2 linked regions of the Lepisosteus oculatus genome follow. The main gene of each other region encodes a partner of the protein of the gene in region 2 in a complex. Links are inferred from orthologs where the notes say so. Each region holds a gene or a part of one and is shown on either strand. Other genes may lie near its edges.

What was found.
Region 1: the proteins of oprk1 (region 2) and pdyn are in contact, whole or in part, in a cryo-EM structure (PDB 8F7W), measured with the Homo sapiens proteins. The link is inferred for Lepisosteus oculatus from reciprocal best matches to the Homo sapiens genes OPRK1 and PDYN. Residues at the interface, in NP_000903.2 of Homo sapiens: Thr111, Gln115, Trp124, Val134, Ile135, Asp138, Tyr139, Met142, Lys200, Glu209, Cys210, Asp216, Tyr219, Lys227, Val230, Phe293, Ile294, Glu297, His304, Ala308, Leu309, Tyr312, Tyr313, Ile316, Tyr320; in NP_001177821.1 of Homo sapiens: Tyr207, Gly208, Gly209, Phe210, Leu211, Arg212, Arg213, Ile214.

What each region holds. Positions count from the first base shown.
Region 1 is NC_090711.1:13,060,657-13,077,899, reverse strand, and holds pdyn (proenkephalin-B), read left to right. Parts: upstream 1-10,037; 5' UTR 10,038-10,207; intron 10,208-11,824; 5' UTR 11,825-11,850; coding exon 11,851-11,979; intron 11,980-12,860; coding exon 12,861-13,484; 3' UTR 13,485-13,792; downstream 13,793-17,243.
Region 2 is NC_090701.1:48,512,394-48,529,527, forward strand, and holds the start of oprk1 (kappa-type opioid receptor), read right to left. Parts: upstream 8,270-17,134; 5' UTR 8,062-8,269; intron 7,658-8,061; 5' UTR 7,647-7,657; coding exon 7,420-7,646; intron 1-7,419. UniProt on the Homo sapiens protein: G-protein coupled opioid receptor that functions as a receptor for endogenous alpha-neoendorphins and dynorphins, but has low affinity for beta-endorphins.

The sequences.
Region 1 (17,243 bases), on a different chromosome or scaffold from region 2:
ATGGAAGAATGGATTAAAAAAGCAAAGAAGTACATTTGCACCATGGGCAGAGGCAAATGAGGTGATTGGAACTGTATTGCCCAGGTACACTTGGAAGGCTTCTGATCATTCTTCTGATCCTTTTAGGTTTTGTAAGATAGAAGATTACAAAGGAGCACCTCTGGGATCTCAATCTTTTATTCTTTAACGTGTAGGGCTGAAGTGAGAACAGTTCATTACAGAGTCCGAGAGGATGTCCTGTGGACTGAGTGTTTACTCAACCACATGGGCTTGTGCTATTCACAGTGTGGACTGCTGTTCACGGGCAGCACAACTGCAGGTCACAGATCAGTCCCCAGCTGTGTTTCGGCTCCTTGTTTTTTAATTGGATTACTAATGATAACCAGATGTCCCCAGTGTAGCTCACCATTACCAGTGAGCCTGTGATGTGCGCAGAAGTGAACCTGGATAGAGAAGCAGACCAGACAGTAAACATCATCATCAGAGACAGAGCAACAGAGGGCCTCTCTGGTAGAGTCACACAAGTTACAGCTGGAGTTCCCTGTAGTTTCCAGTATGGTGTGGTATATATTTTATGTGCTAAATCTGGCAGTTCTGCTAGGATTGTAGAAGAAGAGAATGTATTTTCCAGTACCGTACCCCAGTCAGAACTTCCATTTTGTTTCCTTAAAACCATGTTTGCCGAAGAGGTTGTTAGAGATGTATCGTGGCCCTTATTTGTGCTTTATGTAAAAAATAATGCTTTTATTTGAAAGATGCTCGAATGTGAGGGTGTACACCAGCAATGGTTCTCTCCTCTCCTTTTTCTCTCAGATATTTCAAATGGGGGCTGTTGTCATGGCTTCTTTGTGTCAGTGAAAGCTTTTTGGCCATGGATTCCTCCTAGACCCAATGAAGGAGTACACCTGGAAATTCCATTGGGAATATTTCCAGCTACCGCAGTCTTAATTCCCTTTCGTTCTCTTAGATAGAGCGGTGTGTGGAGATAAAAAGGGATAATTCAAGCCACTTGGTGCAAAATCCAATTTATTTCAGAATCAGAACAGATAAAAATAGAAACATCAGAAACATTTTGTGTGGCAAGAGGCCCTGTTCCTCATTTGTTTTCTAGTCACTAACTGAAAGAGCTCCAAATAGCCCTGGTTTAGCTCATTATTTCAAACTTTTAATTTTAAGAGTATTTGGAGAGGTCACGACGCTTTCTCAAGAGCCCACTGGGTGGGATGCACCTACTGTACCTCTCAGTAGCAAATCCTTCTTGAATTTTGAGTGTACGGCACTCTGCCTCTGAGCTGCTTTCACTCCCATCAAGAGCCATTAAAGTCTCCCACAAAGAATAAGAGGAGATCATAAAGTACTTCAGCATGCAATGCAACACCACAAATAATGGAAAATAAACTGAACTGAGACATAAGCAAATAGCATCAGAACTTAACTAGATGTCTAAACAGCCAATATAAATGAATACATAAATCAGCGCCGCATAGTGTCCAACCGGGTACTCTTAACGTCAGCCCTGACAGAAACGTTGCGTTTCCTTTTTTCTCTTTTCAGCATGGAATAAACCTTTTGTTTTATAACCTTGTTATCTACTGCTGCTTCGGTTGTACATTTCCAGAGAACAGACTGAGGTCTGGCAATTTCTCACAATGGCACACACCTGGAGCTTGCTAGTGACAAGACTTTTACCTTTTACTTTTACTGTAAGAATACGAAGCCCTCTGGCTGCATCTTCTTCCAAATATTTCAATATTTGCAATAATCCTGCTTCTCTTCCTTTCTTCCTCTAATTAAATGGGCATAGAACTGAAAACATGAAGCAGACATTCCCAAGAGATAAATGACTCAACAGAATAAAGACTGCACATCTGTTGCAAACTGTCGCTTATATTAATCAACCATTTCTCCATACTTGGCTCTAAGGGAAAGGCAATTTGAGCAGTAACGACACTTTTTGGCAATTTTTCTACCTTCATCTCATTTACAGTAACCACTGATCATTCAGTATGACCTGCACTTTCTAAGCCGTGCGAGTGAAGACCCTCCTAATATTTTTTACTGTACAGGTGACTGAGAGATGTACTAGAAGTTTTTGAGTCAAATGACGAGGATAAATCATCCAAATCTGTTATTTCCTGCTATGTCACCGCTTCCACGATTGCCCGAAAAGGAAAACATAGCCAGCCCTTTTGAATTTATTCCTGTCGCTGGCCTTCACTTGCTAGAATGGAGAAAGATGCTTTCAGTGGCTCATTCATTCTGTATTGTGATTGCATTTCTCTACATGTGGGCTCTACAATAGAATTAGCAACGCGAGAAAGTAGCAATTAAATTCTGTTTGACCTTCAAGCACAGCATCTGTTAACATTCAAGGAGAGGACGGCGCATTGAGCAAACTTAAGAGTAGGAGGAGGTTGATCCGGGTGCTTTTTCTCACCCAGCATCATTCTGATTCCCAGCAAGCACCAGAGGAACACAAGTATTGCACAACTGAGGACAAGGAACTTCAAATTGTCATCCTTTCACAATACATTTTCCAAGTGCAGGGATTTTCATACCTGGAAAACCAGTTGCCTTAATATGTTCTATGTACAGGTAGATTCTGATGGATAGTGAACACAAGCAAAATGTAAGAACAAAAGGCCAAACACTGCTATAATCTCAATGAAGACCAGTGAATTACAGCCAGTCTTTTCAGCACAACAATAACACAGGAAAAAAGGTAATTCTTCACATTTTTACCACACTGCCAGCCACTAATGTTAAAATAGCTGGTGTATATAAAACATTACATTACATTATCAAGACAGGATTCTTGGCTCTCTTCAACATGACCCCTCAGACCCCATCACCAGCTGGACGTACCCATTTGCAAATGGCTATTTTCATATTCCTCTTCTAAAATGTATCCAAAGACATAAAATGTTACAAAAAGGAAAATGGTGGATGCAATGTTCTAAAACATCTATAATCCTTTGCTTGAAATAATCAAATGATGATGTTATGATGTTATGAGTGAATGATGTTAAGTTGAAATAAGCAGCGCTTTAGGAAAAAGTTTTATGAGAAATGTTTACATAAAAAATGCTTTTTTAAAATGTATATGTCATCATCAACATTTATCCTTAGAAGACTGTAAAATATTGATGTAAATAATTACTAAATTGGTTATATGACGAACTGCTTTAGAATAATCATTTTATAACTGGCAAAATACCAATGGGATCTTAAAAGCTTGCATTAGCCTTTACATTTAAGACTCACAAACATCCTCAGTGGAAGAAATATATCTTTAGGTTACATACAGTATATCATGTTATCAAATAGCTGCATCGACCTTATATTCCTGAAAGACAGCCTGATAATTACAAGGAATAAGTAAAGATGAATATATTTTCCTCAAGCAAGATGCAACATTTTTATTTTCGTTATTGTGTAATATGTTTGAATTCTTGTTCAGACATGCTGGGAATCATAGAAATGGAATCAAATCTTCATAAGCAAAGTAGATCAACACATCCTGCCCAATTTACAGGTGTCTAAAGAGGAGCTACACCAGCAACAAGTCCAGACTCTGGATTGGATGATGCGATGAATTGCAGACAAGTTAAGAGATGAGAAAGTAAAGCTTTTGTTTATGTAATTGTAGATACTTTCATGTGAAGGAACCTCGTCGATGAATGTCAGCGATGGTGAATACGACTTCTCACGATCGTAATCCCTCCTCTTAAGGGCGCTCCGGCTCTTTCACATTTAGCTGATTCTGTGTACCTGCCCCCAGTCCTGCCCCTCCTTATTTAAGCCGGGCGCTCTCGCTACTCCTGCCTCTGCATCGGAAGACGGACGCCCAGAGGCCCGCCTACCACCAAGTTGCCCTATGCCCGCGGCTTGAGGGCGTAGGCCTCCTATTGGCATCCTGACCCAGCTGAGTCCAGGGGCTCCAAGCTCCTGGCCTCGTCATCCCGTTTTTATTTCCCGTCCCTGTGCCGGATCCCTTTCCGGTCTTGTCTTCGTCTCAGATGGACCAACCAGATTTGGACGTTGGACTTCACCCCGGACTTCCCCCTGGACTCCTTGGACTTGTCTGCCATGATCACACACCCCCGAGCACCAGTTCACTGTTGTCATGCTCCCCTTTCTGTCAACCTGCCCTGATCCTCATCGTCTCCTCCCCGTTGTCCTACTCTCTTCCGGATTATACCGTCTGCACAGGGTCCAGCACTATGCATCGTTACAGTACCCTACTGATTATGCTAGTGAGGCACAATTCCTTGATGCAATGTAGACCACTTTATACTGCCAGGTAAACCAACATTTCCTTATTGTGGTCTCACACAGCAATTCAATTGAGCGCTTAACTAAATCTAGAACTTGGAACTAACTTGGTGCTTTTCGCTTTGTTTTTAAATTGTTTCTTTAAACGAACAAGATATTGAAAGGGGTGGCATGGTGATGTGGTAGTTAGCATTGCTGCCTTGCCGTGCTGGGGACCTGGGTTCGATTCCTGGGATGCTCTCTGTGTGGAGTTTGTATGTTCTCCCTGTGTTCACATGGGTTTGCTCAGAGAGCTCAGGTTTTCTCCCGTGGTCCAAAGACATACTACTGCTAGGTTGATTCGCTTGTGGTGTGAGTGTGTTTCTGTGTGTGCCCTGCAATGGACTGCTGTCTTGTCCAGGGTGTAAAATGCCTTGCACCTGTTGCTTGCCAGAATAGGCTCCGGCTCTCCCATGGACTTGATTTGGAAAAAGCAGTTAGATAATGGATGGATAAAAGATATTGTATGAGAGCAAGTTTAAATCTGCAACTTTTGAGCAGCTTGGAATGGCAAGAAAAATGTCCATGTTAAGCATGTTATTAGCCTGGATATTAATTAGATATTAATTCAATTATGCGGCTGAAAGCTCAGCTGAAATGATAACTGGCAGGCATTGGGGTAAGGGGTAACAGGAAGTCCATTGCAAAATCACTCACTAAAGACCCTTTACATTTTTTTAATTGGACCAAATAGGCTGATAATGAGTTCAATGAGGTAATTAAAAGGCCGCGAGGAATTAACTCCGGAAGGCTTGAGGGGCCAGACTCTTGTGAGCTGGAGCTGTTTACCACTGCATCGGACTGGAGAGGAAACTAACAGCCATCAGCTACTGAGCAGAGCAGAGCTTCCTGGTCCCAGTGTCTACTGGTTTAATTCCAGCTGAGCTCTCACTTAACTTTCATCCTTTCTGATTGACAGAACGTTGCAGGTTCTGAATGTTTTTTGTTTCCGAGATTTGGAAATCTTTAAAAGGTGGAGAGTCTTACAACAAAATGAATCAAAGAATTTGACCGATGAAAGAGACGTTAGAGACATTAATGAGGCCACAACTGGAACCAAATTTGACCAGGCAAAAAGCTTGACGGCAGAGCTCTAAAATGTGTTCAAGTAAACAGATTTATTTTCCAGCCCACTACACAGAAGTAGTTGATTCAATGAAACATAACTAAACAAACTACAAAGGTCAGCTTCATTGTATTTCCAAACTGTTTGTCCAGACATTTCTGTAACAAAAGAAATTAACTTTGAATATCCTAGCCATTCTAGCACTAAATATCTTTAAGGTATTCCTAGGTTAAGGTCATTCTTTGCAATGTCTTTCTAGCTGTTATAATCGAGTGCAGTCCACAGGAGTTTGCCAGGAGAGAGACGTGACACTGTATTGTCAAGATTGTGCCTGCTTCCTGCTCATTCTTTAACGGAACAATTTAACAACTTAAGGTTATTGTCCAGTTCCATTTCTTTTCATTTGCAGCTCTGCTTTCCACGTTTTCCTCCATACACTCTTTGTGATCAGGCACTATCTCTTGATACAGGGTATATAATGGCACAACAGAACAGGAGGAAGGGTCTGAATTTGTCCTTACTGACTCTTTGGGTTGAGGATCTGTTCCAGGCCTTTCAGGAAAGATTGCAGTGAATTCACTTGAATGACATGGAAGGACAACTCATCCCAGACACCCACAACTCTCTGTCCAAAGAAGAGCTATGTCTTCTGAGTCCTAATACAAGTTTGTGTTTTAACATGTCCTACTTCGGAAACATCCTGTTTCTTGCATCTTAATAAATATGGTGGTGCCACACCACAAGGTAGATTATGGAACATTGTAACTGGTCTGACAGATGCAGAGACTTACAACTGGTCTGTAGACATTCACAGAGCTGTAGAGATGAGGGTACTCTATGAAATTGTAATCTGACCAATCAAATTAGTAAATAATTTAGGTAACATTAACTGTTAAACGAAAGTTGTTTATCAATTACATCCTTTCAAACTCTACTGAACATTACAATTCAAACTGTCCTTTATAAACAGCTGTAATTTAACAAATAACTTCTGAATAACCCATCTTAAAACTGGGGTGTCCATGCTTTTACCACACTGTGTGCAGCTGTCTGGACTGCAGCCCTGTAAACTCTAAATTAATCACAACTTCATAGGATGAATGAGTGTTTGATGTAGAGCTAACACTGAGAAATAAGTACAGTATATCTCTGTCTTTATTGCGCTTACAGAAAAAGCTGTACTCAGTTTTACCAAAAGCCGATTAACCAAACAGAATGTTTTTGGAAATCGGAGCACCTGGAGGAAATTCATGCGAACCCAGAGAGAACATACAAACTCCACACAGATAGCAGCCCAGGACCGGGATTGAACCCAGGGCCCAACACTAGCCACTGTGTCACCGTACTGCCCTCTGCGTGTTTCATGTTTAAAAAAAAAACAACTAAAAATGAACATTTCAATTTAAAAGTCTGTCTGCAAGGAGCATTTTATAGATTGATATGTAATGAAATCGTGCCCATTGCTGGAAGAGACTGGGGCAATTGATTTAGGGTTTTTTTTTAAATAATGTCATGAATCAGTGGCCTTTCTATTTATTTTACTATGCCTTGATAATACTACTTCGACAATACCTTGTACAGAGAATAGCCTTGTTCAAGGGCAAAACGACAAAGCACACTATACAATAAGCATAACAAGACATCAGGAAGAAGAATAGGAATGTATGGTCGAGGTTGCTAAGAAACTGCTTATTCCTAGATTAAATCACCCTGAAAACAGAAAGATACATTACTTTTTAAAAAAAATCAGCAACAACACAATATTTCAGTCATGTGCTGGCTTTAAATATTTCGACAGGAAGGATCCATTAATAATTACCAGGAACACCTCACCTTTCTTCCCAGCACATCCTGCACCTCACCTGTCTGATTTTTGAACACCATCAGGCCCTGGTGATATTTTAGTTTTAGTCCATTCTAACCCCTGGAGAATGAGCATCACCTATAATAAAACTACCAGATACCGATGAATCTCCTTCTATAACACATGGCATGATGCTGACGTTTTTAATTCTTAAACCCTTTGTGAAGTGTTCCTTTGACATGTTTATTTTTCCTTCATCACACTCCATTGTCAATCCCTTTCATCTCGTGATCTGATTGCTCCCGCGTTCACATTTGTGTTACTGTGAAGGACGGGAGAAGTTCTTCCGTTACTTTTTGCCTCTCTTGCAATATGGATGGATGGATTTGAAGGGATTTAACAAGAAAGTCAATAGAAAAAGGTCTGTGATCAGGAGCCCACTAGAGGAAAAAAATGTCTTTTCATCAGAAAAAATGACAGTCCTTTTCTCTTTTTTAAGTTTTTTGTCCAGATGAGTGTAAATGCATCTTTCATTGGATGTTTCATTCATGAGATTGAAGAACGATGATGTACAGGAAGCCAACATGCAAGGAAGGAGAGTGGCCCTCCAGAATATACAGAAGAAGCAACATTAAAGGACAGACGTACTGTACATAGCAGTTGCAGGTGTGCTTGATTGCTAAAGGAATATGGGTGGAGAAATGCAAAAGGCCACAAAAAGATTGCACTTTAAAACATCTTCCACCTCTGCCTGAGTAATAGTTCTACTGCATCTGACATAAAATACTCAAGAAAAAAATAATTGGGGAAAAAACATTGTTTTATGCATTTTATGAATTTATTTAAACAAAAAAGAATATAATTGCCTCAATAATTCTTGTATGTAAAACTGAAGAGATGAGATTCAAATTGGTTCATTCCTAGAACAACAGAACTATAACATGCTATCTTGGAGAGTTATAATCAATCAATATTTTTGACAAATCAATATACTTTACCAAACAATATGCATTTTTCTTAATACATCAGTGAAGAATCTTATTTCAGATACAGAGTACTGCTCTAGTATCTTATCTAGTGGTGTTTGTTTAGAAAAAAAGAGTCATTTTAAAGCCTGATATTGCTTTTTAAAGAACAACGTTTAATTAACCCCCTTCACATCGTGAAGTATGATTCATATACTCTGCTGGGTCATTCCAAACGATGAGTGGATGTAAAATGTGAAGTATGATTTAAAAAAAATCTTCCTTTACGCGAACACTTAGCCCCCATTATAAAATAAAAAAAAATATTATAAGACTCATGGAACAGCAAGTTGCAGGGTTTGGTATACATTAAATATACCATAAATATATATCATGAATATATTTATATTCTCTTTTATCAGAAAAGTTTGCCTACGTACCTGAAACTTATAAAATGAAATTATTTAATTAACTAGTTATGTTACAGTTTTTGTAAATCCCACAGAAACTGTTCTTTTGACATTGAAATTCTACTTATCTGTACACAGAGAAATGCAGAATTTATAGTCTGGTGGCCTAGACATGCTTATTTACATTACCATTAGAAAGTCCAGGATTAGTGTCAATTAAGGTCTGTGACATTGACATAACATTGCATTACAGCTGCTAGACTGACGACAGTGAGAAATTCTACAGCTTTATGACAAGTGTACACATATACATACAGTATACTGCATTTCTACATAACAGGGATAGAAGTCTATATAGTTCAAAATTAAAAAGAAACTTCATATTGTTCTAAAAAGCTTCCTGTGTTCCACCATACGGTCGCTACTGTAAATACATAGTCATCCTTTTCTGGATACTTATTCCATACATTCAAGGATAGAGACGTTGTGTTCATGGTCAGGTAAATTAATGGAAACCGGTTTGTTGAGAAAATGGTGTTTGGTTTCACTGTGACGCGAGCCTGTAGTTGGTTTTTGGTCCTTGATAAAAAAAAGAGGCACGCTATTTTCTCATATCGTTTGAAACAAACTCTCTCAGGATGGGGCGTGTAAGCTCTCCGTCTTTCCTGTACACGTGGAAATATGTTCTGTGAATAAGATGAGCTCTTCCAGTATTATGTTGAAAATAATTATGCTTTCGTTTTCTGCTTTTAGCGTGCTTTCGAATACAGGAAATGTAACTTTTTACAACTGAGTTGACGACACAGAAAAGACTCGATTCTGTCGGAAGGGAAGACTCAATATTTACAGCTTTTAAGTCCCACTTTTGAAGGTTTTGACATCAGGTTTTAGAAATGATTGGTAAAAAAAGACCATATTAAAAGGTTAATGATTAAACATTTAAGTGTAGTGAAAGTATAAATAATTGCAACAGGTTTAGATTCTCACTATTCTGTATTGGGTGTTTTTTCCCTCTAAGAAGTATAAAGGCATTACCGATTTGTTTTGTTACTGCCTGAACGTCCAAACCTAATGTACTGTATCATTCCTTACTGCATCGAGCATTTCCTCCATGCATTGCTTGACATAACAATAGAAATTCATTTACTCTCCCGTCAATACCAGTTAGACCCCAAACGATTAAAAATAATTAAATCTCCACCCCTATTATAATTAATGGCCAAAGCAGTGTATTTATTTTTCAATCATGTCCGTCGGCGTGCACAAAAGCATTAAATTCTTGCCCTGCCAAGGCTGAGAGGGGGAATGCGTGTGGGAGTGTGTGTGTGTGAGACAGAGAGAGGGGTGTGAGGGGTGTGAGGTGTGTGTGGTTATTCATACAACCAATCACTCTTATTGGTCCAAAAGAAGAATCTATTCTGATGTCCCCCAGTGACACGACAGAGTCTCCGTCTTTATAAAGACGGGGAGCGGGCAATGGGATTTTAAAGAACCAAAGAACTGGGACTCATCATAACTTGACTCCTTAAGATGCACTAGGAGATTAAATTAAAGCAAGAAAAGAAGGAAACTCAGAAACTGCAGATCAAGTGGCAGAGGTGAACCCGTTGGCAGGTGGAAAAGCACTAATTCGTTCACTATTGCTAAGGTAACTATTTCTTTACCAGATCATTTTTTGATTTGATAACGCATTATATTGGCGCAATATACTACATTTATCATTATAATAATAAAATGTAAAAAAAAACAGTATTAGCAGGCAGTTAGGCTGTCCTAATACTCTTCTTGCACTTTAAACGCTTGACTTTTTGTTTCTTCGGCTGCTTTTACTTCTGGTAAATGTGTTATCGGACAACGTCTGGGTTTGGGAATAATCGCCTCATCTTCTTTTGCAGACGTGGTCATGCAAACTATTTCGAGACATTATAGTACAATAACAGTTTGAAGACGAGCCCATTAATATAATGGCTAAGAGCGACTGATGCATTGTTGTAAAAAATAATTTATGAATAAGGGGAAATAGTGGGTATTTAAATGCAAAACTAGCCAGGACGTACCTTTAATTAATACTTAAATAGGCTACTTGTGTTTGTGTATAAACAGTACCTGCGTACGAGCAGCATTTTATATAGAGAAAATCATACTATTCAGGCTGAAGACGCGCGTAGCTTTACCATAGAGAGAAACCCACACTAATTAACACTTAATTGCAGTCGTGATTGTTCTGTAATTGGCTTGATCACCTCTGCATTTGTGAACTGTGATTTGGATAAGACTGTCATCACTACCATTACGCCACCTCTGTAGTTACAGTAAATAAATGTGAATTCTATAATTAGACTGGAACTACAATGTTTTTGCTGACAAGTTCTGTTAGGCTCAGTAGAGAAGATATACATAAGGGAAAACGTTTCGTGTATGTATACTGTTTAAAAGATATAAGAGATTATAGAAACACGGAAGAACATCGAGTAACGATGTAAATGTTCCGTAAAATAAGTCTTATGTCCTGACCCTTACGATCGTATTATTTTATGTTTATAAGACAACGATAATCAGAGCACTTTACACTACGGGAAATGTATATTAGGTGTAATGACATGACGTGCTGGTGTAATAAATGAAAAAAAAACATAAGATTGAAATGAGGCTAGCGCACACTGAAAGAGCAACCCAAGTTCTGCGCAAACAAATTTAAAGAGTAAAAACTGATTAACTGTACAGATAGTGTATCCTGTTTGTATTATCAATGTATTATAAGCCCAATTAAAATGTTACGGTATTTTATATTGTTTACATTCTATGTAATACATATTATACAGCAGAAGAAGAATATACGATGTACACCTACAGTACGCCAGTTTCTTGCCAGTTTCTAAACGTTCGCACCTTGTTAAGCGCAATAATTGTAACGGGCTGGATTAGATGAGGGTACTTACGGTCAGACGTTTTCATACAGTGATTCGATCTGCTAAACGCTGCAATGTTATCAGGAGCGCAAACTGACGCCCCAAATTTACGGTGTGAAGGCAGCGCTGTGAGACGGGGCTCGCGTTGAAGACGTGCTCCGTACAATAAGCACAACTTTCTAAAAAGCAAAAGCCATGTCTATAAACCGAGCTAAATGCGATATTAAATCGTCTAGAGACTGTGAACTGGTCATAAAGCGACAAGGATACCTTTTAGGTACTGTATGCGTTATCTTTGCTTCCTCATAGTGCACTGTGCTAACCGTTCTGTGCTGGGCGATGTCTTTGCTTTTCAGCCATCGGGAGAGATAACGTTAAGAGAATGGAGTGGTCAGTGTTGGCTTTGGTTCTCTGTCTGAGTTTGCCATCCTCAGTCCAAGCAGACTGCTCTTCCCAGTGCTTAACCTGTGCTCAGCAGATCCCCAATGTCAACATCAACATCAACAGTCTGGTAAGACAGCATTAACTGTCCAGTTTACTTCGGGTGGTTGGGCTGCTTTCTGAAAAACGACGTGACAGGGCGTTTTTGTTTCTTTGATATGTTGAATCACTCTCGGAACACCAAACTGAAAAAAAAAACATTCACCAACTCACGGTAAATTATTTATTTTGTGTGCACATGCTTGTTCAGTCAATCATAGGCATGTATTTCCATTCCATTCACAAAATAAAGGTATGCTTTTTAACGCCTTGCGCTCTGTATAGTCAAGCTGAACCACGTGGGACCAGAATGGGTTGTATCAGTCAACATTTATTGGACAATTTCTGTTCACATCAGAGTGTTTTTAAAATATAATCTTTGGTTATGTGTTAAACACACTTCGGTGTTTTAATCCCCTTAGCCAGAAATGAAGATTTAAGAATTTAGGGGTTTTGAAAACAGGACTCTTTTTAGATGGAGACAACATCGATTACACACGTTTCAGCACCATGGAGAGTTACATCGGTTGGTAAGCGGCTAATCGAGAAACCCGGTGAAATGATTTTGTACAAGTGTTACGTTTCTGTTGTTGTTAATTTGATCAAAGATGTTATCATCGTATAAAAACAAGTCACGTAATATAACTTCAAAATATACTGCCATGTGCCCCCCAAATATTGTGAAACAGGAGCGGTGCATAGCTTAACATCAATAACAAAACTGCTCCAAGTACAAATATGTTCGAGAAACTATAACTCTCGTCAATGGCGTTAGCTGGTTGTATCAGTGTGAAGATGAACAGACTCAACAGAAAGACGCGTAGTTTCAGCATTACGTTCAACAAACCGGTAAGTTAAGGACTCGGGGTCGTATCGAGGATCTGTCGTGTTGACCTTATTTTCTACTTTCAGGCTTGCACGTTAGAGTGCGAAGGGGCCCTGGCGTCCACCACAGAATTAGAAAAATGCGAGAAAGCCCTTCAGATGTACTCCGCCGGTTTGACGGAGAACGAGCCGAGCAGAGCGGACAAAGAAGAGAAGGACTACCCCGCCGGCAACTTAGTCAAGCGGTACGGCGGATTCATCAAGAAAGTCGACAAAAACAAAATATTCAGTAGCTCCCCGGCGCGAGAAAACGCACACCTCAAGGGCCTGCTGGCCAAGAAGTACGGGAATTTGCTCCGGAAGTTTGGAGAACGCGACGCGCCCGAGTTGCTGCAGGACAGCCAGGTCGGCGACGGGACGTCGGAGGACGAGGAGGTGGTCTACAATGACGGCGCTGCCGCCCTGAACGAGGTCAAGCGCTACGGGGGCTTTCTGAGGAAATTCGGTCCCAAGAGAAGCCACGACTCCGCCGAAGAAAGCAGCCAAGAAGAACTGCAAAAGAGATATGGAGGGTTCATGCGGCGAATTCGACCTAAGTTGAAGTGGGATAACCAGAAGAGATACGGTGGTTTTCTAAGGCGTCATTTCAAAATCTCTGTTCGGTCAGACGAAGAGCCTAGCTCATATTCCTACGACGGTTTCGACCTATAGATCGTGGGAGCCGTCACTGAAAATGACTTAATGAACTTCTAATGCAGATGCACTGGAATTTTCACTTTCACCCGTAGCTCGTTTTTCATTTTCTTCGCTTGTAAGACCCGACGCCAGGCAGTTGCACTGGGGTGTGCGCAGGGAGCTCTCCTTAGCTTGTCTATCACTTCTGAAGACCGACAAAACAGTGACACTTTCATTGTATCTGTGAAACGAGAAGCGTAGGCCTAATCTGTATGTTGCCAAACATTATTCTATTCTTTGATGCTTGTTTAATAAAAAATAATAAAAAAAATAAATGCAAGTTCTTCCTGTGTCCGAGTTTCAAAGAAAATGTTACCTTTCGAAATACTAAAAGTGTCGAGAATTCAGATGAAGATAAAAGATCCTGTACAGTCTCCCTTGGCTGCACACAAGGTAATGACAGTGCAAGCCATTTTCACAATATCAATCCATCAAGGTTTATGTATCAATGCACGACCAGTACAGCATACAGCTGAGTTGTCGGCACTGAAATGCTTCACTCTGCTTTTACCACACGTGTACCATCGCTCAGAATCGAGTTTAACCACGATTTCCTCTGATTTTATGGCACCTCACTCTGTCTTTATCACAATATACAAGCTGGGGAGCGGGGGACTCTTTTCTGCGCGATAGTTTCGCTATTGCGTCTTCTAGGGTCTCCTCCTCACTGATAGCTGGGCGTACTGGCGCAGTCTGGCTGCCATCGCATCATCCAGGTGGGGCTGCACACTGGTGGTGGTGGAGGGGAGTCCCCATGACCTGTAAAGCGCTATATAAGTGTAAGCTGCTATTAATTATTATTATTATTATTATTATTATTATTATTATTAGAGGTGCAGCTATGAGTGGACGCTGTCACCAGATTTGTCGTTTTAATACAGCAAGCACGGCGCGTTTCTCCCATAGAGACAGGCATTTTTTCTTCTACAAACCATACTACTAAATACTACTGTTTTCAGCTGACTCCCAGGAACAACAGGTATCTGTCCGTATCTACAGTATATCACAATGCAAGGGAAGTCCCTTCAGAGACACAGCATAATGTTCCAATTGTGATCTTTTTCTTAAACCTAACTTTCTATACTGTATTATCAATAATATCAATATAACCCACGTACCACGCCCTGTACCCTAAAATACAACTCCTGCACCCCGAAGTCTGCTTTCACAAGCCAGTACGACAGTTTTAGTACGACTCTCAAATAGTTTAAAGGGGAAGTGAGATTACTGGGAAATGAATGAACTACTTTGACATGCTGAAACATCAGTCATTTTACTGTTCTTCAAGGATGTACAGTACTGTAGCACTCTCGGGTTCACGTGGGTATGTGCCCTCGCCGCTGCCGCCTCAGGTCGGCCCCCTCCATAGGGACTCGAACCCGGGCCTCCGGCTTCTCAACAAGGACCCACCCAATTGAGCTAAAGGGAAATCTCCCTTCAGCCCGCCGGTTGCGGTCCCTGCTATTTATTAACAACCTGCAATGGTGGCCGTATGTGTTACAGTATCTTACAATATCTAATGATCTTGAAATGTGTTGGTATTCTATCTAGCCAGCCCTTTAGTGTACATCTGGCTCCCCCAGCCGCTTCCAATATTTATTACAAGCCCTTATACACTGCAAAAAACCTCGAAGCTTAGAACAACGACTTGCACCTGCTTACAAACTGGAGCACCTGGTCACGAGACACAGCCGGTTAGGTTTGCCGGCGTATGACGTCATTCACCCGAGATCGTCAAGTTCAGCGAGAGTTCCGTAAACTTTAATTATTGTTTAAATTACATCATCGTGAGTATTTAAAAAGCAAACGACCCCCCCCTTAACTGATAGCAAAACCAGCACACGTGTATACCGCATCATGTGCTTTACTGTTTATTTAAAATTCCTTTGTAGATTATTTACAATCTGCCCTTGTTTCGCCGTTTTTTTAAAAGTTGATTCTCTGAAAAAATATGCGTTGGCTCCCTCTTCTGTAAAAACGGTTTAATGCAGCTCCAAATGTGTTGTTAACAAAAACTGAACGCTAGTGATTAGTCATTAGATTTGAAAATATCTGCGTGTAGACATTGTTTGGGACGTATTGCTGTCAGGATATGTTTTTATCCTGTAAATATAACAAACTTAAATATGCGTGCAAAATGTGCTAATATGACAAAGATACTTCAATTGTGTGACGCATTAAATCCGGTGTGTAAGTATTTAATTAATTTGAAATGTTATTAAGTTGCATCTTTGTTTATGAGCTATAAACTCGGACAATTATGACGTCATCTATGATCTATTTAAAATGATCAAATGCCGATGCACTTTCTGCAAAACCCATTTTAATTTCTAACAGGCATGTATACAGCAAAGGAACTGCTGTAATTGAATAAGTCCTTACTGACAGCAGCATTACTATATCATCTAGTGTAGTGATAGTCACTCCTGCACAGAGAAGGGCCCAGTCCAGCACGTTTATACACAATAAACAATCCTCAGTGAGGAAAGACTGGAACCAATGGTAATAAAGACCAATTAAGAGAACAACTGATCCAAATTAAACCATAAAAAGGCCAGAGTGGAATGAAGACCAGGAGACATGGTGGATTCCAGGACTGGCAGTGAATATTGGTGACTTTGAGTGTGAGAGACCTCTAAACCCAACTGCTTCTGCATGTGGGTTACTGTGACCAGTAGGTGGACATTAGGAATCTGGAGTGTTCTGGAGAATTGGTGAGCATACTTGAACTTGAACTTTATTGCCCTATGTAGCTGGTACAAGTACTGGTACAATGGAATTCTTACTTACAGAAAGTCTCTCTATTGTTAAAGCAAGTGTAAAAACACAAAGTGCAGACTGTGCATATAGACAATATACAAACAAACAGTAGACAATGTACAAGTAAACAGTTTGAATGTAAACAATGACTGGAGATGTGCAATAAATAAGAAATCATAATGAGGTAGGTGTGGTCTGAGGGGCATGGCCAGATGTGTTCGCCAATCGCACTGCTTGTGGGTAGACGCTATTGAAGAATCTATGGGTAAGTGTCTGTATGCTCTTATCTCTTGCCTGAGGGCAGTAGGGTGAAGAGCTCATGCCTGGGGTGGTGACTGTCCTCTGTGATGGCCAGAATTCTACCACAGCAGTGGTCCACATAGAGCTGTTTAATCTCGGTGAGACCATCTTCTGGGCCATATTGACCATTCTCTGCAGCGCCTTTCTCTCTCGAAGAGGTGTTGCTGTAGTGGTGAGGATGCTCTCAATGGTGCAGTGGTAGAAGTTCACCAACACGGGTACTGGCATCCCCCAAAGCTTGAGGCACCTCAAGAAATAAAGGCGCTGCTGACCCTTCTTCATGATAGTCAGTGTTCACAGTCCAGGTTAGATCTTTAGAGATGTGAATTCCCAATAACCTAAAGCTGGTGACTGTTTCCACTTCCGTTCCATCAATACTGAATGGGCTGTGAGTGTGTGGCCTGTGTCTCCAAAAGTCCACTATTAGCATACAGTACATGTGCTTCTTTGAGCTGTCCCGAGCGGTTTGGGACTTCTTTGACTTCTGTAAAACTTTGTTGGCACTTCTGGGAACACCAGCTCCATTTTGGAGTGCTTGGGTACATTTAGAATCATTTTGGAGGAGAGTAGCAGATTTTGAAAGATTTGGAATTCTTATGGGCTTAAGAGATCACCTGCATGTGTTTGGGAGAATTGGTGAGTGTATGTGTGCTTCTTTGAGCTTTGAGAATTTCA
Region 2 (17,134 bases):
GAATATTTTACTTCAAAATCGATACATGAGATTGTACAGTATTTTGTTTTTGAAAATATCATGAGCTCAAGCCTCTTGGGAATTTCAGGAGCAATGGCAGCACTGACATAAGGAGGTGACCTAACCTGTAAGCATCTATGATATCACTTCCCAAAAAGCTAAAAATGCCAAAGTAAGACCTTCTCTTCCTTGCATTCATTTTTTTAAATCCCTCCTCCACCCCATAACCACCTTTGCTACAACCCTCTGTTTGATTCCTTACTCTGCAGGGGGTCCTAACTTCGTTGTTCTGATACTAGGTGGTTGGCCCACGGTGATTCAATAAACATATTTTTTGTTGAGTGCTGTTATTGCTAGTGAAATGTGACAATAATTTTAAATGGTCAGGTCAAGATAGTATTTTTTTTTAAATGATACAAAGACTTCAATACTTTTCTGTTTTTAAACCCTACTCAAATGAAATGAATGAGACTGAGTGGAAGGTAAAAAAATATTTCAATTGCCGTGTCTTTGGCATGATTATATTGCTAAGACCGAATGACAGAATTATTGCTGTATGGCTATTGTATGTCTATGCAATGAATTGCCAACAATACATGCCCTCTGTTGAATGTACAATAAAAGAATTACAGTACTGTATGTGTAAGAAAGCTCAGGGAAAGCAGGAATATATGCCTATCGGAATGTTCTTTATAAGTAATGCTGGCTTTGTATATGAATGGGTATGAAGTACAAAAAAATGAAAATCAACTGTTTTGAACAACACAAATGCAATTTAAAATCATAATAATAATATAAAAAATGATTACTGGTAAAAAGGAGATATACTGTAGCATGATTCCTTGGTTAAAGAATACAAAGTACCTGCTGACATGTTCTTGGTACCAAACCTGGCAAACCCTTTAGTACACATGCCCTATGCAAAGTACCCATACCATTGAGAGAAAAAAGATCTCAGAATGTCTGAACATCAGAATACCTTAAAATAACAGAAATATCCAAAGGATAATACATTACAGTCTTCCTCATGTTCATGCATTCTGGGATCCAACAGTGCTTTAAAACTGTACTCCTGGTCAAATAAGACTGTTTTGCTCTAAAAAAATCTACTGTCCCCATCATTTTTCTCATATTGCAGGAAATTTTCTTTCAGAAAGGCTTTCAAACAAAATGTTAGTCACCCAATCAAAACAATCACACACAAACTCTTGCGGGGATTCTCCAAATGGACAGTTGTGAAGCACCTGGAAGGATCAAATAATCAGATTTTTATGAAGCTGGTTTATTTGGAAATTCAGTATGTCCATCTACTGTATGCATCCTCTAAAAGACGCTTATTACTGGTAAGAGTCATGGTGATTGGAGCAGTTAGGAGAAAATGACTTCTCTCACTGCACTATTACCTAGTCTGGTATTAAGGAGTGATAATGGAAGGATCAATCAAAAAAGTATAATAGTATGAAGTGAAGAAAGTGGATTCATGCTGTTCTCACATAAGATAAAAGGGAATGGGTTTGAGGACAAAAGGTGGGACTGTACTACTGTTCAAAGTACTACATTCCACTGAGTTTTTATAATTCGGCATTTGTAACTGTGCATAGCTGGTACAGTAAATTACGCGTGCTTCACGTTTTGCTTCATGAATTTGCTCAGGCACTCTCAGGTTGCTTAGGGATTGTTTATGGACAACCATTTTCAAGTCTTTCCATAGATTCTCAATTGGATTTAAGTCAGGACTGATCACTGTCTTGCTGAAAGATGTTTTTATAACCAAGTTTTAGGTGTTCTTATCTTTTTTACCTTCAGTACCTTCATTACCTTTAAAGGTCCTCCTTGTCTTATTCTATCTAGTTCGAAGGCCAGATTCTACAAGTCCATGGTGGACTTTTAGACATGGCACCAGAGATAACATTATTACACTTTAAAAAATTGTGATGGGGAATATAAAGACTAAGTAGTGTGGACCTTGGTTTAATGTCTCATTTGAAGGATGACACATCAGTGTGTGATTCCTGCTACTTACTGGTCTACTCATATGACTTGCAGCATATAGTGTACATAGTTCCTTTTCTTTAATGGTTAATTTAGCATACACGACAAATTTACTAAAGCAGAAATATTGGTGCAGTGAAGTGAAATATTCATAAGTGTAATTTTCTATATGCATGAAGACATGTATGCAAAATAATATCCAGCAATAAAAGATGACATTCTATTGTTATCTCTCACATTAAACTGAAACACAAATTCCATGGTGACCATAAAATAACACCCAAAAAGAATGCAGAAAAATGTACAGAGTGCAAGGGTGAAAGTATCTTAATTCACTGTTCACTGTACTGCAAAATACAATCATCAGCACTAAAAACAGAAAGGCAAGATTAGAATTTGAAAAGAAGTACAAAGATAAACCACAACAGTTCTGGAACAAAGTTTCATGGACAGACAAGAGGAAGATAAATGTTTATCAAAATGACAGAAAGGCAAATGAGTGGAGAAAGAGAGAAACTGCAAATACCCAAAGCACAACACCTCATTTGTGAAGCACCATGAAGGTAATGGCATGGCTTAGGCATGCACGGACGTCTCTGAAAATTGGCTCACTTTATTGAGTATGGAACTGATGATAGCAGCAGCAGAATGAATTCTGAAGTCTACAAAAACACATTGAGTGGTAACTCACCCTGCGGCAAGACAATGACCTGAAACATTCTGGCACTGAAACCAAGAAGTTCATCAGGAAGAAGTGGCAACTTTTGAAAAGTCAATCACCTGATTTGAGTCCTTTTGAATATGCATTTTACTTGCTGAAGAGGAAACTAAAGCCAGAAAACCCCACAAACTACCAACAACATTAAAGTGGCTACAGTTAAGGATTGGGAAAGCATCTCAAAGGAACATATCAAGAGTTTGATGATGTTGATGAGTAAGGAGTCTGTGACCAAGTACTGACTCAGTACTGATACTCACTAGAATAGGAGGAACAAACACAGCAAATTATATTTTTCTAACTTGACTAAACATGTTTACAAACTAAAATCCAGGACTAAAAGTTGAAATTGACACATTAATATTCTTGCCTGAAATACAAATGTCTTTAATACATAGCCAAAATTACAATTTCACTTACTAATACTGATACTAATTGTACCTAATACTGTACAACTTTTACTGTATTTTTTATTTTTTTTCTCTACGTTGGATACACAATATTTTGACAATAAAGAAATCATAATTGTTTAAAAATATATTTTACTAAAAACAACTTTATTCCATTTAAATGATTGTAGATTGATTTTTTCTAAATGTTGCATTTTTATCAAATGCAAAGTATTGTATATATCTATTTATATGAATTATTAAAATAATACATTTGTAGGTGAGACATGTCAGTTAAAGAAAAGGATCAACGTATTATGTACATTTGTACATACTGTATGTACATATTACAACAGGATATATTTTATCCTTTAAATAGAGAGGCCACATTGTGATCAGCTCTTACAGCATGTTAAACATATCTGTGACTGTTCCCCAATGCATACTGAATGTTTTTAAAAAATGAAATAAACTTTAAGAGTAAACATTTATATGATAACAGTTTTGAATTAAGGACAATTCGTGAATGTGTTGCTGTTGTTGTCTTGGAGATCTAAACAGCGGTGGAAAGGATTAATACTGAGCATACTGGAAAAAAACTACATAAATCATTTTATGATTCTTGTACCATGCAGTCCAAAGCCCTGCCATTTTGAAATGATTACCTTCAGAAAAAAATCTATGTCCACAATTTCCACAGTGCTTTATGTCTGTGGTATAAATATTAATTGTATGATCATCAGGTCCTGGATATAATAAGACTATGCTATAGATCCTTGTGGCGTTTATGTGCCTGGTAGTTTGCTGAATATTTATCACCTTATTACCAACAGTATTCATTTTTAATACAGTAAAAATTGTATCGGGACATCTTATTTTTGACTTCTAACAAATGAATGATGTGTGGATACTTACAGAGCTTAAACACTGTAGATAAGGGGGAAATGATCTTTCTATTCCCTTATGCTAAAAGCAGAATGATTTAAAAATGTCTTTATTTTGTCAGTTCAGAACTAACTTGATCTTAAATCTAAATGTATGCCCCTCTGATGTCCTGGAAAATTGCAGACAAGAGGCAACACTACTAAATTTGTTAGATGGCTTTCTTTAGCTTTGTTTTTTATATTTATATATTTATATATAACACATGGAAAGATTAGTATACATTTAAGAATGAGTTTGAATGAACATAAAAACACTACTTCAATCTGCATCCCAGTCTCAGTATACTGCATATCATCAGTACTCAAAATATATTTATTCTGATCAAGAGGCCTACTGTATTAAAATTACAATCATCAACACTAATATGAAATAGTTTTTGCTGTAAATTGATATAATAATAATCATTATTTCATTTAGTGCCTTTTAAATAGCATCTCAAAGTGCTTTAGGGTAGATGTAAAAAAACAGTTAAAAGAAAACAGTTATAAGGATAGCAAATTACAAAATAAGCACGTATAGGAAACACAAGGGATTAGAAGTGCAGCAGAAGATACTGTACGTGGTCATTAGAAAATGGTGTAGACACAGACACTAATTAAATAAAAGTCTTTCTGAAAAGAAAGAGTCCAGATTTAAATGCACTCAGGATAGGTGACTCTCTGATATCCTTTGGGATACTGTACAATTCCAGAGCTTTGGGGTGTAGCAAGAGAAGGCCCTATCACCAGCAGAATGTAAACAAACTTGTGGGACATATAGTATGGAACACCAGAATCAGATCATTTAAGGTTGTGACGTGGGGGCAGATAATAAGTCAGATAGGTACTGAGGTGCCAAGTCAAGTACAGTTAGACCCTTGTACGTGAAGATTTTGAAATCGACTCAAAACCTGATAGAAGCCAGTGCAAGGCTTCTGTGCAAGATGGGCATAATGTGGTCGCATGCATGCAACCTGGTCAGGATTCTGTTAAATTCTGAACATACTGTATTTGTTCAGTATGGATTTACAGTCGATACCCCAGTGAGCTGGGTGTTGCAGTAATCGATTTCTCAAAAGACGAATGTGTTGATCAGCTTTTCTGCTACAGACAAAGACAACAATAGGACATTATCTGGCTGTAGTTATAAGATAAAATAATTATATTTTTACAGTATGCTGTACATGAATCAAGTCATAACGAAATAACACCCCTACATTCTTAAATTTTGATTGAAATTCAGGCACATTGCCATCCATAGAGGGTTACTGTATCGTTTTTACTGTAGGTGATGGGAGGTGCTGAGTAGCATGACCTCAGTCTTATCACAGTTTAATTGAAGGAAATTTTAAGTAATCCAGGTTTTTATATCAGAGATGCAATTAGAAAGTGCAGAAACAGCTACTTCATTGTCAGGTTTAGTATGGGCATACATTTGAGTATCTTCAGCATAGAAATGATAATTCGGCATGTATGATTTTAATAACCTGACCAAGTGCAAATGTGTAAATGCTGAACAGCAGGGGGCCCACCATCTTCATCCACATCAAAGTCATGGGAGAGCTGGAGCCTATCCTGGCAAGCAGTGGGTGCTACGCAGGGTACACCCTGAATGGAATGCCAATCCATTGCAGGGCACACGGACTACAAAACCCACATACTCACATCAGGGCCAATTTACCAGAAAGCCAATTAACCTACCAGCCACTGATATGAGAAATCCAAATTTCAAAATATCCCTATGGGTGTGGGAAATACAGTATGCCAAAGCACATGTGAATGATATTTAAGATTTGAAAACTTGATTGTCAATGAAATGATAAGCAATCATGAACAGACAGTAGGTAACAAATGCATGAGAGTAGCTAGACCCAATAAACCCAATAAAAAGCTGACTTTATTGTGACTAACGGGCATAAAATTCATCACGGTATGGCATGCAAAATAATGCTTAAGTAATATTTAATGGGTTAAAAGGTGAGGACAGCACCATGTATCGTGGGTGAATGTTGTCATTATCAAACTACATTAGGATCATTTGTTGCAAAAGATTACACTCCCCAAATAAGTAACTACACATACGTTAATCACATGTGATGCATTAATCACATACTGATTAGAGGGCAGCACAGTGGTGCCGTGGTTAACATTGCAGCTACACAGTGCTGCAACCAGGGGCCCTGGGTTCAATTCTGGACCTGGCGTATTTCCATGGAGCTTGTATGTTCTCCCCATATCCATGTGGGTTTCCTCTGAGTGCTCCCGTTTCCTCCCACAATCCAAAAACAACTGACTTCTGGGAAAACCGGCCTTAGATGTGAGTGTGTGCGTATCTGTGTCTCTATGACTGGCGTCCTGCCCAGGATGTACCCCTCCGTGCTCTCATTACTTGCTGGGAAAGACTTCGGCTCCCCCGCAACCTTGAACTGGATGAAGCAGTTGGAAAATTGAATGGAAAACTGATTGACTAGGAAATTAGAGGAGGCAAGATGTAATGATTTTACTCAGGGTACGTTGTCCTGAAAAGAATTAAGCATCACTGGAGGTTAGAGCAAAATGGTTATGATTAACATCTAAAGTAGGGCTGTCTAAGACTTTTAATCATCAAATTAAAAATGTCCAAATGAGAAATAAAACTCACACCAATTCTAAGTTGCTAATAGCATCCTATTTAATATATTATTTATTACGTTTGTTAGGGTCTTATATGTTCAATATTTTGTTGCACTATTACTATAACACTATTTGGGAAATAGCAAAGGTTATGTCCACGCTGATAAGTAGGAAAAAAAAAACGTTTCGGTTATCAAGCCTTCTTCGGGTCTTAATATTATATAGCCAAGCCCACTTACATTAAATGATAACTGATTAATAATAAACAGTAAATATATAAAATAACAATATTGTCCTTAGAAAATCTATTTCAGAGACGTCCATTATATAGATTACTTGATTTATGGAAATAAATCAGTTTTCCTCATGCCAATATTATGTCATGAAAATTCACCGCAGATGAGGTCATATCAGGCGTATAGTGCAATGCAGCATAAAAAGACAGCGTCTTTTGGAGGGAGAAAATTAATGCAGAGAATCTAAATTCAACATTTTGCTAAATAGAAAAGCTAAAAGGGCTACTGAACATTTATTGCAGTTCTCCGTCTTCATTTTCAGAGCTATTTTCTGTTAAAAATAACCGCTGGGTGGCTCACGTGTATTCAAAATGAAAAGGCACAGTTATAACACTGAAGTCTAAATAGGAACTTTGGTTTCTGAGATATAAGAACTAACGTTGGGGGAAAAAAACAACTGATAAAATTTGTAAAAACAAATAATTAAATATTGATTGAAATAATTATTAACATGTTAAAAATATTATAAATATAAATTTGAATCTTACCTGATGATAACATACATGACTAGACAGTTGCCCACCAAGCCCACCACAAACACAACGGAATAAACAGCAGTAATGATGGGAATGATAGGCGACATGGTTTGATTTGCCCAGCCGTGCTCATCTGTGACATTATCTATGTCAAAATAACCAGACAGCCATGTGGAGCACTCCTCGGACGAGACAGGGAAGCAACTGTCTTCTTTAAAAATCTCCACTGGCTTCTCCATTGCTTGTGGATCTTAATAAAAGTAAGAGTAAGAAGAAGAAACAATATTTAGAACAGTTCTTATATCATAGTCTGAAACATATATATTAAAGAGAGTGCTAATTCATTGTATGTTACAAAAATAAAGTCTGTCAGAACGTTCATCGAAATACAATCTGTCAAATATTTGTTTATAAAACATAAACGAACACGTATATGGTATCTATATTTTGGAACAAGCACAAACACAAAATCTTTTTTTTTTTTTACTGAAACGTCTACTATCTAAACGACTTCACCATCATGTTCGTCTACTGTACATGTACTGTACAAAAAGGGTATTACATTACCAAATCACATGAATGAAAAGAAAACGGAAGACGAATACTACAGATTACTAAAAAAAATAAAATAAAGTAAGGTTTATTGAAACATACCTGCACAATTGCAATTCCACCTTCGGTATTCTTTTGTGGTTAAAATCTGAGACCAAGCTGATATATTTGCTATTCGCTCGCAAAAGAGACTCTTGGAGACGCAAACTTTGTTGATAGTGGCTATGAAGAAGCCAGACACCTGTACTCGCAGTTTCACAGCACAGCACGGACTGTACCGCTCAGTCACTCCTCCACTCTCTCCCCCGGCTTCTGCGGCTCGGATGACATCAGAGTAGTGACAATAGCCCAGAGATCTTAACACAGGACACAGGCTACTTGGAGTAAACAAAACCAGCAGATCTGTCTTGACTGCCTATTTAATCTGATAGATCGTGTTTGTTTTTGGCTCATTCCCAGTACTAGTCAAGAGTTACTGTGTTCATCAATATCATTTTTCAGATTAAAATCCGTATACAGTACATAAACGATGAATTACTGCATATGTATTTATTGCATACAGTAACTATTTAATAAAGACACAATTTAAGGCCTATAAAATATTATATATATTTAAGTATAGAGATTGTTACGAGTTATATTATTAAATACGAGGAAATGTTTTCAGCACATCAAACAAATATAACACAAAGTGCAATTCTTTTAGTAAAACTGCCACCACCTTCACTAATATTACTACAAATACTACGCTATTTTTACATTTTTTCAGAAGAAATATTTTTTATATTTTTTGCCTAAAATTGTTTACAGAATAATGAGGTACAGTATACGCAACAAACAAAACTCCAGTGAGTTTCACAGTGTTTCTTCAAACCAGGGAATAATTATACATTCAAACAATTACTGTAGCTGTAATGGTCATAGCCCAATTTTACAAAGTGCAGAGAGTTAGAAGTTAAGAGAATCTAAAATCTTCAGAAAACCTGCTTTGGGAGTACAGTATGGTATTACAGTATGTTACCTACAGTACAATGTTTAAAAACACAGCCCTATCAGGAAACTACTAAGGACCAGTACTGATGAGGTGGTGCTGATACCACAAAGCATTCATGTTCTTACAGATCTCTCCATTCTTCTGAACATGGATTGCCAGACTGCTTTTTTTTTTTTTTTTTTAACGTGTTGGTCTCAGAGTCTCAGTGGCAAAAATCAGGGCCAGTCAATCTAATTGATCCAAGCTGTGACCTGTCCATCAAACCTCTTCTCTCCTTTGTCTGTATTGTTTTCACTTCAATTATGTTGCACAGTTAATTTTTTAACTTCCTGCACCTATTTATGGAATTACAATAACTTCACATTACAAGTGCCAATATACTGTAAGCAAAACTCGAAGCCAGTACGAGCTCTGTCACCGGGCATTTCTAAAATATCACCTAGACTACAATTTTCTTCTTCTTTTCATCTAACATGAAGGTTTTCTAAAGCTTTTTCCTCCTTTCAGTCACCTAGCCTGGCCATCTGACAATGCTTAAGAAGGAAGACTGCCACAGTATTCGATTCTGAAAGCACTTGATGTACACAATCAGGTATTAGCCCTTCTCTGATAGCTATGCTCCTTGGCAAGGTGTGCTTTGCTGGCAATAGTGCAGAACATGAATAATGCAGTCCTGTGAGTCTAGAGAAACATCAGCGCAGAACTGCTGTTGCAGAGAGTCCTGAGTTGTAATCAGTCAACTGAGCTTCCACTGGTGGTTTGTTTCTAGGCTTTTTTTCAGATCCGCTAAGCTTAATGTAAAACCTGCATTACTAATATATTAGAAATACCAAGAACCTGAATGCACCAGCTGCATGTTCTGAAAATCATCCCCCATATCATCTGAACTCATTTTCCAGTTACTGTATGTGCCAGTGCCAGTCATGGACTGAATGGGGTAGACTGCTGGTCCTAGAGGAACACTGTCTGCTCTTTTTCATTCCAATTGAGCTCTGCATCTGTCATGTCATTGATGACTTGATTGCCAATTGATGTGATGTACTGTGATGTTCTCAAAATTTTTTGATAAACCATAGTAAAGGGGTGAATACTTGTGTCAAAGATTGTGTCGTTGACATATCTTTGCAGTTTTTTCTGACATTTAACTTTTTTACCAATAGGTTTTAGTCTTAGTATTCAAGTTTCATTAAATATGTGTATGGTATTGTATACAGTACCAGTTCATTTGTATCTCACCACAATGGAACATTGTTGTAAGGGAATGCAAGATGCTGTAATTATTTTGAAGTTTCTTACAGTACATCTTCTTAGCCTGAATCTTGATTTCTGACATTTGCATTACAATAAATGAAAAACCTTTTTTACCTGTAAAAGATATAATTTCACTGTTAAAACATGCAAACTAAGGGATATAAGAATGTAGGCTTGTTTAATAACAAAGTGATATGTACAATACAACACATAGCACAGACAAACATGTCACATTAACACTTTGAAGCACTTGGATCTAGAAAAAAAATGGTTTCCAATAAACCTTATAATCATTAATCAGCAGAGATAGCTAATGAGATTCAAAATGTTTTTCTAAAATATCTTAACATTTCATTCATATGTGTTTGTATCTGTAAATGATTAGTTACAAAAACTGATGACTCATTCATAGCATAACAAGACTTTAGATCCATTGACAATTAAGAGACACCAATTAACCTAGCTTACATTTTTCAGGGGTGAGAGAATACTGAAACACCCAGAAAAAGACCACACTGACATGGACAGAACATGCAAAAGCTGTAAACAATATGCACTAGGCCAGTATTGGACCCAAGTCCTATAAGACAGCAGTTATAACCACTATGCCACCATGCAATCTTATTATAATTCAATATTATAATACTTTTGAATGAGTGTGATTGAAACTAACAGTGAATGCTACACTGATACAATTCTCTTGAATCTCACATTTATCTTCTCTTTCCTTCAGATGAGATTTTAAATCAAGGTCCTGACTCCCAATAAATACCCTGTCATTAAAGATCCCACATTCATAAGAGTAAGGTTAATCTTGTTGTCCTGGCTGAATTCCACTCTGGGCTGGAACAATCTGCCCTTGCAAAAGTTCCTCCTTTATTCAAAAGGTGAAGCAGTTTCTTACTTCTCTAGCTGTTCTGCTGTGCGGTGGGGATGCTGGTGCCTTTTGACAGCTGTGGGTTACCCAGACGGGCGCTGCACTTCACTGGTGAAGTGGACCCACCCCTATATGTAAAGTTCTGGATGAAAAGCACCAAAATGCTTCTGGATGAAAAGCACTTACAGAAATTTCAGGAATTTAAGACAGAAAAATGACAATGTAAGTACGCTTCCAATAAGTTCTTTGAGCACGTTATAAATTTCCTTAACTTTATATCTCTTAATTGGTCTTTTCAATCAAGATATGTGCATGCAAGTCTTGCATGGTTTGTGATCATTCTGACGTGACATTTATAAGGATTCAAAGTCGCGATTAATACTGTAGTTCCTGAGAGGAGCAGTCACATTTATAAATTAATAAAATAAAATTCCTAATTTTTCTATCACAATTATTCATATCTATCACAATTAATAATAGTTCCAGCCTCTTAGATTAAAATTAATTTGATCTAGTCAAATATGATTAATTTACACCTTTTCATTGATTAACTACTGTAGTACCCACTAATAACTAATTGGTAAAATGTCTGTGTTTGAAATTTATTTTTGAAGAACAATTATGAGATTTCTGTCCAAAGCTGATAGCTGGGAGTGTGTGTTTTTCATTTCCATTAACAATGATGCTACCTTAGCCTATGCTTTTTTGGCAGTTAACTGCTTTTATCTATTGACAGAATTGAGTCAATAATGACCAACCAACCATCCTTCTTAAAACACTGTGGAGTCAAGAGACATGAACTATGAAGGATGTGTTGCACTCTATATGTCTGGGATATGTTCCAGGTTACACTAAACCTTGCAAAGAAGAAGTCACTTTCTGATATTGGACGGATGAATTAAAATTACGTTTCCTGTACATAAAATTATTCTGAAGTGAAAACTTGGTCAGATATCTGAATATTATATTTACAGATATTACATTATATTTTATAGCAGATGCCAAAGAGAACACATTTATATTTTGGGACTCCTCAAGTGTAACACTATTTAATATGTTAAGTGCATTTTCCATTATGTAGTCTGAAACAGGACTTATTGTGATGTTGTTAATACGAGTGTTGCGATTGTGATTCCATAAACTTCTCTCACTGCTGTGTTTATCAACTCCATTTTTTTGTTGTGTTGTGTAGACTCCACTCTGCTTTGTCATGAACGTCATCCCTCCTCTAGAGGGCGCTCCAATCCTTTTGTGTTCGTTTCATTATAAAGTTCACCTGCCCCTTGTTCTGTTTTTTATTTCAACCTGGTGCTCTGCTTTGGAAGATGGATGTCTGGAGGCCTGCCTAGCAACAAGTCGCCCTACATCCACAGCTTGAAGTCTTAGGCTTCCTAACAGCGTCCTGACCAAGCTGAGTCTGGGGCTTGGAGCTCCTGGCCTCGTCTCTCCGTTTTTAATTTCCTTGTTCCATGTCCCTGTCCCTGTCCCTGTTTTTAACTGTCTTGTCTTGGATGGATTCCCTGTTTTGGACATAGGATTTTCTACATTGGACTGTTTTTTAGACTTTGTTTTCCTTTGTTCCCCCCTTGCACCTGGATTCACTGTCGGCACCGCCCCGTTCGCCAATCCCTTCCATTCCCCACCGTGTTTTCCCCATAGCCCTTTTCCAGTCACTTCTGGATTATACCATCTGCACAGGGTCCTAAACTACGTGTCGTTACATGTTTAACATAGAGTCTTGGTTTTTTATCTGCAATCATGGTGTAGTAAAGTAACTTTCGTCTTAGTTTAGGTCTAGTCCGTGTAACTTTGCCTGTACCAGTTAGCTTCCTAACTGCTTTTAACCCTGGTAAGTGGAAGCACACCAGGGGGCATCTATAGGTCAGTGGAAAAATACAGCTCATGTCTTAAATGCAGTAAAAGGTAAGTCGAATGCCCTGTTCTGCAAATGTAAGCAATAACAACAAACATTCTACAGTATGTCAAAAGTAGGAAGCTTGTCTGTCACTGTGTATGAAAAAAGTGCTGAGCAACGCCTTCTCTTCCGTATGAATGCGAAATAAACAACTCATCTTTCACCAACATCAGGACTCTGTCATTTTATATGATACTACAGTAGTATCACAGCTTGGTTTGTCTTAGGCCTGTGCATTTTGTTAGTTGCTTCCCTATAAAACGTCACTTTGACTACTTACCTTTTGTCGGTTTTACCTCCTTATTTTATCAATATTTTTCATACACTTACTGTAAATGGACTCATCATTTGCACTTGATTTTGGTCTCCTGTTTCTTTATTTTATTAATGAATTCTGTTACCATTTATCTTTAACTTACAGCAAGGTGGATTTTCCAGATATGGTGTCACGAGAAAAAATGATAATGTTTTATTGTCAGCTGTTTGTCAAAAAACAGCTGCTTAGGAGACTGTGCTGGATTCAAGAGAGTCATCAAATGAGATAAGACTGTAACAATGGAAGCAGACGTTACATCTACTGTGGCTTAACTTCCTGATGCAGGATATCCTAAGGTCAATAACTTGATAATCCTCTGTCCTTCACTGTGGGCTTACGGAACATGATGGGTACTCTGCTTAAGTTACAGTCCCCTACTATTCAACAGGCTTGCTTACAAGATAATGCCCATGAAGAAGGAAGCAAGTCTTGAAATGGTCCTAGCTGAGCAAAGCCACAAGTTTCAGCTGTTAAAAAGTATCTAGATGCACTGGCTGAATGGTTTAATCAGATTGTATAGAGTAAAATATTTCTGACAAGACTTGTGGAAAGCCTCTTTATCTGCCTCACTGAATATTTTTGGGGTGGCTGCCTGAATGGGGCCAATGGGCTAAGAGAGAGGAATGAGCAGCCGCCTGCTGACATAAAAATAGTCAGATTTCTTTGTTCAAGAGGGTGTTTTAATTCTGTAGGACACACTCAGAGAAGAGACTGAGGGTGTTGCTCATAAAAATAGCATGTAATCCTGCTAAATCACATCAGTAAAGGTTTAAAAATCCCAGTACTTAAGAAAACCTTGTCATTTAGCGACGTTATCAGAAGGAAATAGCATGATACATCTCATTTACAAGTGGCTCTCAGAGAAAAATGATTTTTCTGCCACGGACATGGTGATTAAAGAAATAAAAAATTAAATTTAACTCTTTAAATGAATTCATAAGATAGCATACATGAAGCTCTATAGTTGCTAGCGGCTAATTGAACCAAAATGCTCATCCAGCCATTTTGTGAAGTAAATTGTAATGACTTCACAAATACAACCGGTTTGGTTGTTCCAGACCCCATAAAATCCTTTTTGCAACATTGCTGTTGATTCTGAAGAAGTCAATTGGACTGATTTTGTTAATGCCTTTGAGGATTTTAAAACTCAAGCAAGCTCCTCTTGTACACTTCAGTGTTCAAGCCTAAACAGGTTTAGTTCTTTTACACTGTCAGTGTAGGATGTTCCTTTAAGCCTCTTTGTGAAGAGACAAACCAAATTTCTAAAAACAACTTAAATAAGTTTTAGGCGCATTGTACAATGTTTACATTTATTGATTTAAGTTCTGCACTTTGAAACAACTTATTTAAATATATTGTTATCTTTTTATTGCTTCCCTGCATTGTCTACAAGACATAAATGATGTGTCAATATGAACACCTACTGTAAGTCTTTCTGAACAGTAGCCTCATTTATTTCACTGTTTCTCTGTTTATATTTACTGTTATTGTTTTTGCTGCCTGCATGCAACATCCTGCACTTGTCTTCTTTAAATTCATCTGTCAGGTGATTTCCCAGTCCAGAAATTGATCTGAGTTTTTTTTTAATTATTTTGCAGTGTTTGCAAATCCTCCTATTTCTTTTATAATAGTCAAGACAGTTTGCAAATCCATACAAATGCACAAATGTACATTTTACTAACTGTCGCAGAATCTAAATCATCAATAAAAATCATGAAGAGCTGTGGTAATATGCATCCTGAAGATGCTTCACTAATTACATCACCCCAGTTTGAGCATTCACCCATTATCTTTACCCACTGTTTCCTGTCCATTAACCAATTCCTAATCCAAGTATCTAAGTTATCTTGAATTCTTACAATTCTTACCTGCTGTTTGAGAATTAATCTCTATAAACTAACTTATAAATTAGTTTTACAGGAATAATAGTTGCATTACCATGAAATAAGGAAATACTTACATTTTGACGAGCATTCTAAATAATTTATATAACGATGACAATAAATATGTGGTCAGGAGAAAGAAGATTTTTAAATGTTTTAACTTAATTTTGTTGCCCTTGAATTTAAAATGCTAATTTCTATGTTTCTGATCATGACACAAGACAAAGGCTACATCTCAACAGAAAAAAATATACACTCACAGAGCAGCACGGTGGCGCATGGGTTAACATTGCTACCTTATGGCACTAGGATCCTACAGTAGGTTAAATTCTGGACCTGGGGCAAAATCTATGTGGAGTTTGTATATTCTCACCATGTTCACGTGGGTTTCCACCAGGTGGTTCCGGTTTCCTCCCACAGTCCAAAGGCATGCTGGTAGGTTAATTGGCTTTCTGGAAAAATTGGTGTGAGTGTCTGTGTCTTTCAGTGCCCTGCAATGGACCCATTATTTTAGTGAACAGGTATGACATACTGTATGTAAATTAGGTATGCCAATTATCTTTAAAATTACTAAGTGTGTCATGTGGTCTTAAATGTTGACAAACAAAACAAAAACCTTATCTGTAGACGGCTCTGTACTTGAGCTTCAATCAAAATTGAAAAACCTTGGGGTGATATTCGATTCTGGCTTAACATTCGACCCAGATGTACAGCATACTGTCAAAACATATTTTTTTCACCTTAGAAATATCGCAAGACTACACCCTATGCTATCATTAACTGTGGCTGAAAAGCTGATCAACATATTTGTATTCTCTCGAATTGACTACTACAATGCTCTACTCCCTGGGGTATCTAAATCTACTCTGAACAAACTGCAGTATCTCCAAAATTCAGCAGCCAGAATCCTGACCAGGTCTAGTGCAAGTGTTCACATTATTCCTATCCTGGAGTCTTTGCACTGGCTTCCGGTCAAATTCCGCATAGACTTTAAAATCCTCATGCTCTCCTATAAGGCTTTACATGACTTGGCACCTCAATACCTGTCTGAACTTTTATCGCCCTACTCCCCACCTCGCAACCTAAGCTCTTCAAATTCTGCCCTCCTTACTGTCCCCCAAGCCCGTCTACATTGTATGGGCAACAGGGCCTTCTCCTGCTATGCCCCCAAGCTCTGGAACTGTTTGCCCAAGGATATCCGAGAGTCACCTTCTCTAAACTCCTTCAAATCCAGACTCAAAACCTTCTTCTTCAGAAAAGCCTTTACTTAACTGGTTCCATTCTTCACCCCTCTGCTCTTCTTAGTACCACTTCCACGGTCTCCTCTATTGTTATTGTTGTAATTGTAATTGTGTCTTATCTTGTGAAATCTTCTTATTTATTGTTGTAGTCTTCTTATTTATTGTTATTGTCATCCTGTAAAGCGCTTTGAGAAGCCACCTTTAAAGGCGCTATATAAAATAAAGTTTAATATTATTATTATTATTATTATTATTATTATTATTATTATTATTATTATAAACACCTAAGTAAAACACTTCCAGTGTGCTTTGTCTCCAGGGACTGTGGACTTAATACATGGAAAGAAGAGTCATGTTCTGGCTAATGTTTCATTTGTTGTAAAAATACAAGGCAATAATTCAAACAAAACAATTAAACAACCTTAGTGGTTCATAGCAATCTATAGCACAATCACTTTTAATCTCTCTTAATTCAACTCATACCTCTATTCTGAAACATGCTTCTGCCCAAACAAACCTTTATTGGGAAAGTAAATTAACAACAAATTTGGGGTTACATGCAGATTTAAAGTTTAATTCACAATTAAGCACTTCAGTGTTCCAGAAGACATTTCTGCTGAAAGTGACTCTTGTAGGAAGCTGATTTGTTGATTACATTTTATCGATTATGTCTTTCTTAACACTCTTTCATTAGGTAT